3 linked regions of the Nothobranchius furzeri genome follow. The protein of the gene in region 1 purifies or fractionates together with the protein of each later gene. This does not show direct contact. Links are inferred from orthologs where the notes say so. Each region holds a gene or a part of one and is shown on either strand. Other genes may lie near its edges.

Region 1 (4,218 bases):
TCATTAACATTCTCAGGATGTGTCAAGCAAGTCGAGCAAACCCTTTGTTTAGTTTAACAAAACAAATAAATAAAACCATGGGTCATTATGAAATGAATTGATCCAGACCTTAGAGGACTCGTACAAAAGAGTACAGATGACTTCTAGGCAGCGTAGTCACATAATCCAGAGAAGCTAATTTTACATCACTTCAGAAGAGGAGGTTTCTAGTCATTTGAATTTTAATAATCAGCTGATGTGGTTTGCTACTGATGTGTACTGTATGAGCTGTGTGCTCCCAAACAGGAACCATTACAGTAGCTGTGAGCTGTGGAGGTCATGTCAAGTTACAGCAGCTATTTTCACACATTCATGAATGCCATCCACTCTGGGCCAGCAGCAGTAACCAAGCACAAACCTGACCTAAATATCCACTTTTGTATGTTTCAGGGGGAATAACAAATTATGAATTAGCAAAGTAAGACATTCTGATTGCACTGAAAATTCAAACTTGCAGAACAACTAGGAAGTTTGTATTTTTCCCCAGATTGATCAAGTAAACTATGAAAAGAAAGATAAGCCTAAAACTTCATAAAATATTCAGGTTTAATGGAAAAATCACCAATTCTGATTAAATGATTCAAAAAATGAACAACTAAACTACCCATGTCTAAGGAGGAAGTCATTCAGCACCTGAAGGTTGTACAGAAAATCATAAGAGCTCTTACAAACCTTTCTTGGTGTACAGATCGACCTCTACGGTGGGGTTTCCACGAGAGTCAAAGATCTCACGAGCGTGAATCTTCAGGATGGACATTGTTACAGATCTCCTGCAAAAACGAGAGCAAAAGTTCATTACCGATACTGCAACCATTCAGGCCTCCCTACAGGGGCACTCGCATACTTAATGGTCCAGTGAACAGTGACTTGGCAAAAAATATAAATGCTCTGCAGCACACCTACAATAAAACTCAATGTGAAAAAGGAGTCTGGGGAAATATTGATCAGCTGTAAATCTTCTTGAAGACTAAAATAAATGAGACCTGCACACTATCAGACTGATGTGATCCGAACAGAATGATTGTTGCTTCAGTCGGGGCGGGGTGTGGCTTCTGCAGCACTAGAAAATTCTCTGCAGGTCAACTGAGTTCACAAACCACTTCCGATTGTGAAATAGTTTGCAAAATGTTTGCCCCAGTAAAGTCAAGAATTATGCAACAATATCAATATTTAAGCGTAAATGTGCAAAATAGGAACGTGATTTGGCACCAGTGCAATGTTTGGCCTTTTTTGTAACAAGCTTCGCTCTGATACAGACTGCAGGCTTAATCTCAGAGCTTTTGTCACCTCCATTTCTGCAGTGGAAGTCAAACAGTGTAATGCCAGACTGTCTGGGCCATGACGCCTGCAGTTTTATATTGATTATTGTGTTTGTTCTACTCAACTCGCCCTAAATTCATATTCTGCAAAGTCAAGCGTGAGTGCAGCTTAATTAAAACTAATGGAAAAGGCAATCCTTAAAAGTTTGTGTGGAAATGTGCCACAGACAAATTCACAGAGGAAGTGTTTTTTTAAGACTGGGTATCAAAACTCAAAGCTTTAAAATTTAAACGACCAAATCTTAGTCCCCAAATGTGCCGTAACGTTAGCACAAATCTTCAGGATCACTTTGTGAAATGGTTCACGAATAAGATCAGTTTTAGATAAACCATTATCCCAGAGTTTGGCTGTTTTATTATTAAGTGTGTGGGACTTTATTTTTCATTAAAATATTTAAAATACAAACATATGCAGACCAAATTTTGTAGCAGGTTAACTACTACGAACATGCAAAACCCTTGACTATTTGGATTATTTGTGAACCACTCCTGTAAATGTCCCCCCTTTAGCAACATGTTATCCATTCAGCCACAGACAACCCGTCTTGAAATAAATGTGCATTTTCTGATCATTACTCAATGCAAGACAGAAATGCGTGAATAATCCAGAACAATTATTTTACAGCTGGTAAATCAGTTAATTCGAGACATCATTACTTCATACTGGGTTAGATGTGGATTATTTAGTTAGTTTTAAAGCATAAAATAACTCCTCTACTGGACTTACAGCGTTTTCTCTGATTGTCCTAATAAAGATGCAAGAATCCTCACAGGACTCATTAGCTTGGGAGAATGAAGGAAACCCAGACGCCCGTGCAGGCTTGTTCCCCCTCAGTAATTTTCCCTGACACGGTGGACACACCTCCGTGTATGCTGCAAGCAACCGGTGGTCAAAAAAACGAGTGGCTTTGAAATTCCTATTCGAAACAAGAGGGTCACAAATAATGGCTCCTCGTCAAAATGAAGAATACGGTCTGCTGCAAGGTGGCCTTGCAACCGGACACCCCATTCCCCCTCACACACTTCAGCTCTAAATGGAGAGATATCTCGCCAGCTGACGGCGTTGTTTAAAAATAGACGACGAGTTAAAGAAATCGCTCCATCCTGCTGAATACAACAGCAAGATGAAGGAATCAAACGTGATCGAGCTACCAAAATATTCGACAGTTAGCTAGCACCGACAAGGACAAACCGCGGAGGATTTCGTTTAAGAGGAAACCCATCGTGTAGTAATTTTAAAAAGCAGTAAAGTGATTTTATTAGCACACTCGGCTTAACAATAACCACACGAAGCTTTAAAATGTTTGTTAATCGAAGAAAAACAGGAGGAAAGGAGAAAAACAACGGTAAAGGTTACCTTTTCCGGCCTAACTGTGTGCAAGGACGGTGCTCAGTCTCTCGGGTAAGCAGGCAGAGAAGGCGCTCGTGACCCTGTGAGCTGGAAGATAAGTGGTCGGAATCAGGAACGGTGCGACGCTATTGGCTGGAAGAGAGACACTACGTAGAGGAGCGCGAGGAGGAGCGCACGTTCACTAATAGGAGTTAGAGGACCCGGATGAAGGGCAGGAGGATGCGGCTTTTCTGATTAAAAAAGCATCCCTACAGGAGCGCAGAGATGAGAAGCGCTCTCAAACAATGAATTATGGGAATTATAGGCTTCAGCTAGAGGTAGGAAGCTGATTGAATACTGCTATATGGCAAGCCATTTTGCCATATAGCAATTAGCCAAATTGCTTTGATTTTTCTCCTCAGGGTGGCTTAGAGATAGAATGAGAAGCTCGGTCATCCGGGAGGGGCTAGGAGTAGACCCGCTGCTCCTCCATGTTGAGAGAAGCCAGCTGAGGTGGCTTGGGCATCTGGTCAGGATGCCTCCTGGACGCCTCCCAAGTGAGGTTTTCCGGGCACGTTCAACTGGGAGGAGACCCAAGGGAAGACCCAGGACACGCTGGAGGGACTATGTCTCTCGGCTGGCAGGGAACGCCTGGGTATTCCTCCGGAATTGCTGGCTCAAGTAGCTGGGGAGAGGGAAGTCTAGGCGTCCCGGCTTAGGCTGCTGCCCCTGGGACCCGACTTCGGGTAAGCGACTGAAAATGGATGGATGGTTTCTAGTCAAATTGAACATTTCACTTAGCCTGGCAAGCCAGACTAAATAAATGTATTATTTAGTCTGGCAACGCTCCATTGACGGCTCTCGGTTGTGGGGTGGGTTCTACCGTTGTCTTTCAAATGATCGCCGCATGCTACTGGACAAAGAATGTGACATACTCTTGTTTCTCTCTGTTGCATCATCCCACCCACCAGGCATATAGAGTGCCCTGATTGGCCCACAAAGCGGATAAAGCTCTGTGATTTGTTCACTAAGCAGCAGGGGTGGACTGGCCTATCTAGCATTCTGGCACTGTCCCGGTGGGCCACTTAGCCAAGTGGGCTGCTTACCCTGCTTGGGCCGACACCACTTCACAGTTGGTGATCTGCAGAACATTAGCTATATGAAAACCTGAAGCTACCAGAGTTTTTCCAGTCATTTTTAGCTAGAAAAACGCGTTAGAGCGATGACGTATAAGTTGTTTTACCGCTTTAGCATGTAGCTAATGTCCCGCTGATCTCCGCCCATGGGGAATGAGCTGATCTAGAAGGCCAGGGCTCCCAGTCGCAGCGGTCTGCCCATGCTTGTAATTTAACAGTCCCAGTTCATATTAGAACTCTCATTCGGCCTAGAGACGAGTCCACGGGCGGCAACATCCCCCACCCCCAACGCTCTCCCAATGGGGAGGGCCGACGATTCGTAAAAATGCCAGGGCCGAATTTTGGTCCCAGTCCACCCCTGCTAAGCAGATAGAGCACTACGATTGGCCCACCA
Region 2 (4,241 bases), on another chromosome or scaffold:
AAACAAGTGTTCTACGCCTTTAACACATACAATGCTCACAAATCACCTCATCTTTCCTACCTAATATTACACTTCTGGCTGCATAAAGCACAAAACAAAATTAATGCCTCATTAGTTTTACACCTTCTGCATCATTCACACTTGATTTTCAAACTTTTCCTGGAGCAAATTGTTGAAAGAGAGCAAAGGTGTGCAATGAAAAAGTCTCCTCTTAGTGTTACATGTATTGATAGTTTTTAAAAGTTACTGGTGAGAATAAGCTGAAAAGTGCAAAGCAAACAAACTTCTTTTTCAGTGACTGTTACACTCGAGTTATGTTTTCAGTCACTTACAGTGGCTTGAACCTTTAGATGATTAAACCCTGTGCAAACACTTCCATTCATCAGTGGTTACTGTTTCCTTTCCTGTGACTCATCCTCAAGTCACTTTTGAAACTGGATCCCAGTCTAATCATGCGTTTGATGATAACACACTGAACAGAATTAGTAATTGTACGTAAGTGAATTAATGTATGGAAATTTTCTCGAGTGTGTTCGCGGGTCTGGTGCAGTTGATCCCCAGCTGCATATGTTGGTAATCACAGCTGCTTCTTGAATTCACTCACAGGCACGCAGCGAACAACCTGCTGGCAGCAACTCCTCCGCTTTTGTCTAATCCGTCATTTCACTGGGCTCTGAGTTGGTTAGAAGAATATGACAATGAATCTCTGCAGCAGAATACACATAGGCAAATTAACAAGGATGTGTGCCTGCACACTAAAGCCCTTAGACATCAAGTCTGGGATTTACATTGGAATGCGGATCTCTAAGTCTCTCAAGAGACTGGAACAGAAGTTTTCGCACAGACTTGGAAAAAATAAAAACTTTTTGCTCCTTTAGAGCTATTTTACAACATGGATTAGTCTGCTCAGCTGGTACTGTAAAACACAGTGAGCTGGAGACAAAACTAATGACTCAATTGAAAGCTTTTCTTTTAAGATTTTGCCAACAGTTAAAGTCCAAGTTGCAAATAAGTAAGAGACATGAATATTTCTAAAGCTCCAACAACAAAAATTTCAAATATTTAATATTTACTATATGTACCCTGGCACCCTCTGCTGGACAAAATATGGTATGGTATCATCTATTATTATTATTATTATTATTGTTATTTTTGTCATTATTATTATTATTATTATTATTATTATTATTATTATTATTATTATTATTATTATAAGGGAATCAGTCCAATCTTTAAATTGAAAATATGAATTTGTGTTTTCCATTCAGAGGTCAGAATGTTACACAAATAGTGGACTGTAAGTAAAATTTGTACAAGAATTGTGTTTACATTTATTTCAGAGTATAAACACCTTTGATGATTTAGTTGACATGTTTTTGTGCATGTGGAGCTTTGCCTTTTTGGAAGGGGGATAAATTGACGGATCTGGCAACCTATTCCTCCCGTTGAAAGTCTGCATTGGTCTGTACGTCTGCTGCCGCAGTTTTTAGCGTTTTAGTTCCTGCAGAAGTATAACTGTAAGCTAACTATGGCAGGGAAGAAGGCGTTGGTAATCCTGTCTAAAGGTGCAGAGGAGATGGAAACTGTTATTCCTGTGGATATAATGCGCAGAGCCGGGGTTTGTACTTGTTAACTTGTTGTATGCTAACAGTTAGCATGCTATGGTAAACAAAAGTAGCATGCTGCGGTTCATAGCTAACCCATAGAACTGACCTTACAGCAGACACCGGACCGTATGCTACAATTATGTTTAAACATAGTGGTTTATTAAACATTGATTGTGACGGTAAAGAAAATAATTAATTTGAGATAATGAGTGCTAACACTTGGTCAAGCAATAAGCAGTTTTGTCCTGCAACTATTGTTCTCCTTAACCTCAAAAGTTGAATCCCCTTTTGAGCTTGTAGTTTGTAAATTCTAGACGAACCCCCAACCTTTAGCGACTCCAGGCAGAAGCCAAGTTTAAATGTCAAAGTCCAACCTCTTTTTACCTTTCAAAATAAAAGCCTTCGTTGACCATGACGCAGGATGCCATGTAGTCCTGTTACTCTGGAGTTGTGATAACATTTTCATATTTGTAGATTACAGTCACAGTTGCAGGTCTGACGGGGAAAGAGCCAGTCCAGTGCAGCAGAAACATTGTCATCTGTCCTGATACAAGTTTGGAGGAAGCCAGCAAACAGGTAGAGCATTAAGACAAGCAGTCACATGTTAGGGAAACATCTCATGAGATGTATTTGTTGTGGGACGATGATGTGTATCAGAGCAGTTCCTGTTAATTTTGACGTTGATTCTACCAATTTCTGGATCATGGATCTAAAATTATAAGAATAAAGGAAATACATCAAAGAGTTACTTGAATTATATTTAGTTCTAAATGTTCAAATCTTTGTCAAAGATAACTTAGATTTTTTTAAAGACAGGTAATACTCATTTTGTTTGTGTCCAAGGGCCCATATGATGTGGTTGTCTTGCCAGGAGGAATGCCAGGTGCTCAGAATCTGGCAGAGGTGAGAAAATACTTACTTTTGACATTTTCATTGGCCCTTGTGCTCAGTGAGCAGCCACATGGCTCTAGAATTATTTTCATCAGATATGGTTTGCATTTGAAATCGATAGAATAGAAATAAAAACAAGTTTTTAACAACTTTTACTGTAAAGTATTTCCTTATGCTGAGTCGCATTTCTTTTGCTGAGTAGCTTGCAGATCATAATTGTCAAATATTGCATTTTTCTGCTGTAGCCCTTTCTAAAATTGTGATCAGAACATCCATAGCTGAAACATTTGATTTGCAGAAAGCTCTGCATAGCGGATACTTTTAAACACACTGCCTCTTTGTGTTATTACAGAATGGCCAGTGAATATGTATGGAGGGCCACATGGCCGCTAAGTGACTCTGTGTGCATCTGTTTTTCCTTTCTCCCAGTCGCCTGCTGTGAAGGAGGTGCTGAAGGATCAAGACAGCAGAAACGGCCTGATTGCAGCCATCTGTGCAGGTACAGCTTGTGAAAACAATCCAGCCATAATTATACACATTATCTAATAGATTTCCCTCTCTATGGGTTAAATATGGTGTGACCTTAATCTTGACAAGCATGTCTGGGACTAAAGAGATTCAGATTAATTAATTAATGACCACACAACAAGTTGGTGGAATTTGTTTCCTGTGCAGCACGACATGCTCACAACTCTGTGTCTACACCTGACGTAACTAAAAATAAACAGACAGGGACATACAAAAGCTTTAGGCAGTTACTTTATTTGGTGACCGTATAGCTGTTGGGGATAAAACTGTATTTGAATATATGTGATTTTGACTGTAAACACCTGTAGCGTCTTCTAGAAGGCAATAGTGTGAACAGATGATGTGCAGGGTGAGAGGGGTCCGAGGGGATGTTTCCTGCCCTCTGTGTGATGCGTCATGGTACAGCGTGTCAGTGGAAGGTAGGGTATGGCCTATAATTTTAGATGATTTGACTGTTATGTGTTGTTGTTTTTTACGTGAGTTGGAGTCCATATTACCATACGAGACTACTATGGGTGAGGTGAGTATAGTCTGAATGATGGCAGTGTAGAACTGTACAAGGACGTGGTGCATTTGTACATGGTTTGTAAAGGTTGATTGTGCAGTCACTGAGCAAGAAGCATCTGACTACGAATGGGATGGGCAGCCATCCTCTCACGCCTAGTGAATGACACTTTAGGGTGGCCAGTTAATGAATTTTGAAGTGCACAGAGATGGACTTTCTGATTTAAAGCTGCAAAGGCAAATCTGCAAAACAAGCTAGCTTTTAAACACAAAAATGGTCACAGAACACTCACCTCTCCCATCGGCTACTATCCCCTGGCCACGCCCACCTGATATAGGAATCCACGTGCCAGGGGACACGAGAGAGCGCAAAGCACCAGTTACCGTTTTCCAGGTCCAAACGTCTTTTGTTGACTTCAAATGGTGTTTTTCTTTTTGGGACTCTGGTAGATTGTCCTAAAGTTGAAGTGGTAGCAGCCGGCTGTTTCTCCTTCTCTGATATTACTGAGCACCTCTCACACCAGTGACTGGAGGACCCAGGTAAATGCAGAAATGCGGTGGCCCAGTGAGACAAACTACTGGCATCATATACGTATGTAGACGCCTCATAGACTGGCGCTCCCCATAGGAGCTGACGTATTAGCGCAGCTGCCATCTTGGATAGGTTCCTATTTGCCCCCAGTGCATTTATTTCTACTGAGAAAGGTGTTC
Region 3 (4,286 bases), on another chromosome or scaffold:
TAAAGGTTGTAAACGTTTCAAGTGAAGGCGTGGACAGTCGGTCCACCTCTAGGTGTCAGCCTTTAGCTCGAGCACTTGGTGTGGGAGTTCGTTCGGCCGTTCTCAGTAGAATCATCAGTGCAGAATGGTGAACGTGTCAGCCTGTCCCTTTTTTTTTTAAATATTAAAACTAAAGAAAAAAGGAGGAATGACAACATTACACAAATACTTTTAATAAAGACAAGGAAGAAGTACTGGAGGTTAAGGGGCGAGGGGACCAGATCATCTGAATGGAAGTGACGCTGCTGGGATTTTACGCCTTGGCGTTGATGATCTCAATAAACTCAGGCTTGAGGGAAGCTCCGCCCACAAGGAAACCATCAACGTCCTTCTGGGAGGCGAGTTCCTTACAGGTGGCACCAGTGACAGAGCCTGAGGGGCAGCGGCGGTTAATGAGACGGCATTAACGCAGGAAGAATGCGGGACGTTTGTCCGTTTACTCACCTCCGTAAATGATCCTGACAGAGTTAGCTACAGCCTCAGAGACGTTGGTCTTCAGCCACGCCCTCAGCTTCTCATGAACTTCCTGGGCCTGAGAAATCACACAGGAAACTTGTTAAACACTGCCGCCCTGGTGGTCCTCAAGCAGGAGTATTTAGTTGTTCTCCCACGTCTACCTGTTGCGGGGAGGCGGTCTTGCCTGTACCAATGGCCCACACGGGCTCATAAGCAAGCACCACCTTGCTCCAGTCCTTTACATTGTCTGCCAAACAGATAAGACCACAGATTTAGCAACTTCTCCAGATTAAGGGAAAACGTATTGCTCCATTTGGGCTTTTTCCTCCCGTGCACACGAGTTTATATAAAAGAAGCTGCATACCTGCAATGACTTTGGTCTGAGCAAACACCACCTTCTCCGTGATGCCTCCTTCCCTCTCATCCAGCTTCTCACCGATGCAGGCGATCACGCCGAGACCGTTCTCCAGAGCGTGAGCCGTCTTCTGACCAATAAGCTAACGTTGCACAGGAGGACATTCAATAAACACGCCGTTTAATCCTCTGTGAGATTTAAACTGTTAAATCTTACCTCATCGCTCTCTCCAAAGACGTGGCGCCTCTCAGAGTGTCCCAGGATCACCCAGTTCACACCACAGTCCTTGATCATCGCAGGGCTGGAGGCAGAGAACGGATAAGACTCACCGCAAACCGCTAGATCCACAGAAAAAGGCTGGACAGGTTTCTACGGCACTACCTGATCTCCCCAGTGAAGGCACCCTTGGGAACCTTGTAGCAGTTCTGAGCTGCCACACCAAACTTGGCATCCAGCTTGGACCTGGTGAAGTCCAGGTAGATGGATGGAGCGCCACACACCACCTCTATTTATGTAGAAGGTTACATAGTCAACAATAAAGGCTTTTTATTAGCTTTAGGACTAATTCCTATAAATATTGAAATAATCTACGATTTTTGTTTTAGAACAAAACACATTCAAATAATCCTTAAACATGGTCCCCCTGTGTGAATACAAGACTTTGACACAAGTACAGTGAAGTCCAGACACTGACATTCACATTGTAACTGTATCTTTGGGGTTACGAGGAGCTAAATTCAGTTTGGTAAAGGTCATTTGTCCCGAGCCAGAGTCAACAGCAGTAAAGGTCTGAGTTCAGTTTCTAAAAAGGTCAACTAAAGGCTTGCATTCTGCAGAGGACGAGACATGGCTTAAACCTGGGTTCAAAAGGTCAAATGACCAACATGATGGACATTAGAACAACAAGGCAAAGCCTGTCTGGCACTGCAAGGGAGGTGGACTCATTTAGGGGGCAAGGTCCAAGGACAGTATGAGCAGTTGCTCCTGGACAAGCGTGGAGCAGGTAGATACAACGTTAGGGTTGCATAATAATGCTGAATCGCAACAGGTTTGGTTTTGACACAAAGTCTGCGGACCCTGCAGTGAAGGGGGGAAACAGCTGCTGCTGTTTTTTCTGGTTTGCAGAAGCAGATAGTGCAGACGATGCGTTCAGGTAACGATAGGGAAAAATAAAAAAACACAGACTCAGACATTCACGCATGAGCAAAAGGTAAACATGCACATTGATTTTAAACGTATATAAATTGTATTTCTGTTTTAATTAAAACCTCTGATCTTTTACTAGCTTTGTTCTGTATATTTAGCCAGCAGGCTTTGGGAAGCATCAGTGACCAGTGCTTGATCTTGAATGCATCCCGGGAGCTAGCGTGACTACGTGCAGCTGCAAACGCACACCCACCTCCGACATCACCGAAAAGCTTCTCTGCTCGCCCTTCACCTGTACCCCTTCATACTTTTCTGTCTATTTTAGGTTAATTAAACTCGATTCAACACGACAATATAACGACTGTTTCTTTTTAAGGGCTTTTAAAATCATTGAGGAGGAGATTTGTGATGCTAAAGGTGTCCTTGTTTCATGACTGAACGAGCCATTTTGAAAATATATCAAAAATCGTTTTGAAAGAGAAAAAATTGACGAACACAACGGGGTTAGGCTGAAAGATTCAACGAAAGTTTTAACTCGGTTGTTAAAATCCACACATACCGACATTAGCGTCCACCTTTCCTCCGTTCAGGGTCTCGATGAGCTCCCCGAGGCTTTTCTTGTCTCCATTCATCTTCCAGTTTCCACCGACAAAGAATTTCCTGCTCATGTTTGCGGGTTTTTGTTAGGATTTACTAGAGAATTAAACTGGACAGTACCACGACGGGGACCTTCTCTTTCGGGGCAGAGAGCAAGCGTTTGATGGCTGCTTTACCTATTTATACGGAGGGAATTTAACACCGCCTCTTTGTCAGTATACCGACACACCATTGGCGTATCACGGAACGCCGATGAACGCATCACCGCAGCAGGGGAAGAGGAAGAGCGAAATGTCATGCTGCGTTCAAGTGCTGTTTGAAAAGTTATTTACACAAAGATAAACCACAAAAAATACATGTTTTAATTGAATGAAAAAGATACGTAGTTGTTTAAATAACTAAAAACAGTTCGAAAAAACTAAATAGCAAAAATTTAGCTCACTTATGCATAAAAATCATAACTTGATGAACTGAATGTATTGTGATATCACCTAAAACGTGTTTACATCTTCAGATACTATCTGTGATAACATTTCCACATTATTTTGTGATTTGATAGCTGAGATAAAAGTACTACATTACGAATTACAAACTAAACTGTTAAAAGCACAACGAAAAAGAGTATTCTACACCTGAAAGAACTGTTTCTCAACTACTGAACACATCACATAATTTGTATAAATATGTTTAAGTTGGATATGTAATTATTTTATTTTACGTACGAAAGTAAAACAAATGTATTTGAATCATGTGCAAAAGTGTTTCCATTTGAGCATTTATTTAACGCTTTCACTTTGAATGACACAGTAATGCGCTTTTGGATTGGTCATGACTAGTGACCCACCTAGCCCCGCCTACCTTTAATGACAACTGAAGAACAGATGATCTGGTTGGACAGATCACGGAACTTGTATTTACATTTTACATACCCAACATGCATTGCGGTTAATCTCAAATATTATACTTGTAAAACACATATAAAACACGTTTGAAAGTAACTTTTTGTATTAAATGTTGTATTAATTTACTTTTTATAATGTACTTTACTATCAGCTACTCTAACTGTATTTTGTCAAACCGTAACAAGAATGTATGTGTCCCTTTTATTAGTATGGTTGCGGAGCCGTTTCAGGTTCAGGATAATTTGCTCTTTAATATTTATCTAGCAGGTTTCTCATAATGAGAAGCCCCTTTAATTGTGAGAAGCAACCTACCTGACTGGTATTGTAGATAACGACTTAACAAAACAGTTTCTGTCTCCAAATAATGTGGTGCACATGTGCATACTTGCGCAGTATAAGCTTGTTAGTCTGTCTATTAAATGTCTCTCAGTTTATCTCAATAAATTAAAAAAAATTAAAAATTCTCAACATCATCATAGCTTTAAGATATTTTATTTTTCAAATGGATCTTTTTCGTTAAAATCCGGTGAAAAACTAGCCTTGAGAACTAGACCAATTTCTTGCTTTGCAAAGTCTGGCTTGCCAGGCTAGTGAAAAACAGATTGCCTCACCTTTACCCGTGTTACTGTAGGGCACAAACAAGCCCCTCCCACTTTCCTCAGGCTATCCCAGTAGCCAATCACAATGCAGTTACTCTTATTCACATCCCGGGGCCTTGCATTTTCGGCTTTTATTTATTACCAGTCACTCAAGCGCACAACGAGTTTCCTACTTGTTATGGTTCACAGAAG

What was found. The genes of interacting proteins can lie anywhere in the genome.
Region 2: the proteins of eno1a (region 1) and park7 fractionate together in Homo sapiens (co-fractionation; 3 studies listed by BioGRID). This does not show direct contact. The link is inferred for Nothobranchius furzeri from reciprocal best matches to the Homo sapiens genes ENO1 and PARK7.
Region 3: the proteins of eno1a (region 1) and tpi1b fractionate together in Homo sapiens (co-fractionation; 4 studies listed by BioGRID, with this or other methods). This does not show direct contact. The link is inferred for Nothobranchius furzeri from reciprocal best matches to the Homo sapiens genes ENO1 and TPI1.

Annotation. Positions count from the first base shown.
Region 1 is NC_091755.1:28,667,078-28,671,295, reverse strand, and holds the start of eno1a (enolase 1a, (alpha)), read right to left. Parts: upstream 2,854-4,218; 5' UTR 2,716-2,853; intron 810-2,715; 5' UTR 797-809; coding exon 712-796; intron 1-711. UniProt on the Homo sapiens protein: Glycolytic enzyme the catalyzes the conversion of 2-phosphoglycerate to phosphoenolpyruvate. In addition to glycolysis, involved in various processes such as growth control, hypoxia tolerance and allergic responses.
Region 2 is NC_091743.1:63,725,495-63,729,735, reverse strand, and holds the start of park7 (Parkinson disease protein 7 homolog), read left to right. Parts: upstream 1-1,417; 5' UTR 1,418-1,528; coding exon 1,529-1,618; intron 1,619-2,081; coding exon 2,082-2,183; intron 2,184-2,450; coding exon 2,451-2,510; intron 2,511-2,927; coding exon 2,928-2,997; intron 2,998-4,241. UniProt on the Homo sapiens protein: Multifunctional protein with controversial molecular function which plays an important role in cell protection against oxidative stress and cell death acting as oxidative stress sensor and redox-sensitive chaperone and protease.
Region 3 is NC_091745.1:74,103,067-74,107,352, forward strand, and holds the start of tpi1b (triosephosphate isomerase B), read right to left. Parts: upstream 2,825-4,286; 5' UTR 2,665-2,824; coding exon 2,556-2,664; intron 1,356-2,555; coding exon 1,232-1,355; intron 1,152-1,231; coding exon 1,067-1,151; intron 993-1,066; coding exon 860-992; intron 743-859; coding exon 657-742; intron 572-656; coding exon 484-571; intron 412-483; coding exon 293-411; 3' UTR 1-292. UniProt on the Homo sapiens protein: Triosephosphate isomerase is an extremely efficient metabolic enzyme that catalyzes the interconversion between dihydroxyacetone phosphate (DHAP) and D-glyceraldehyde-3-phosphate (G3P) in glycolysis and gluconeogenesis.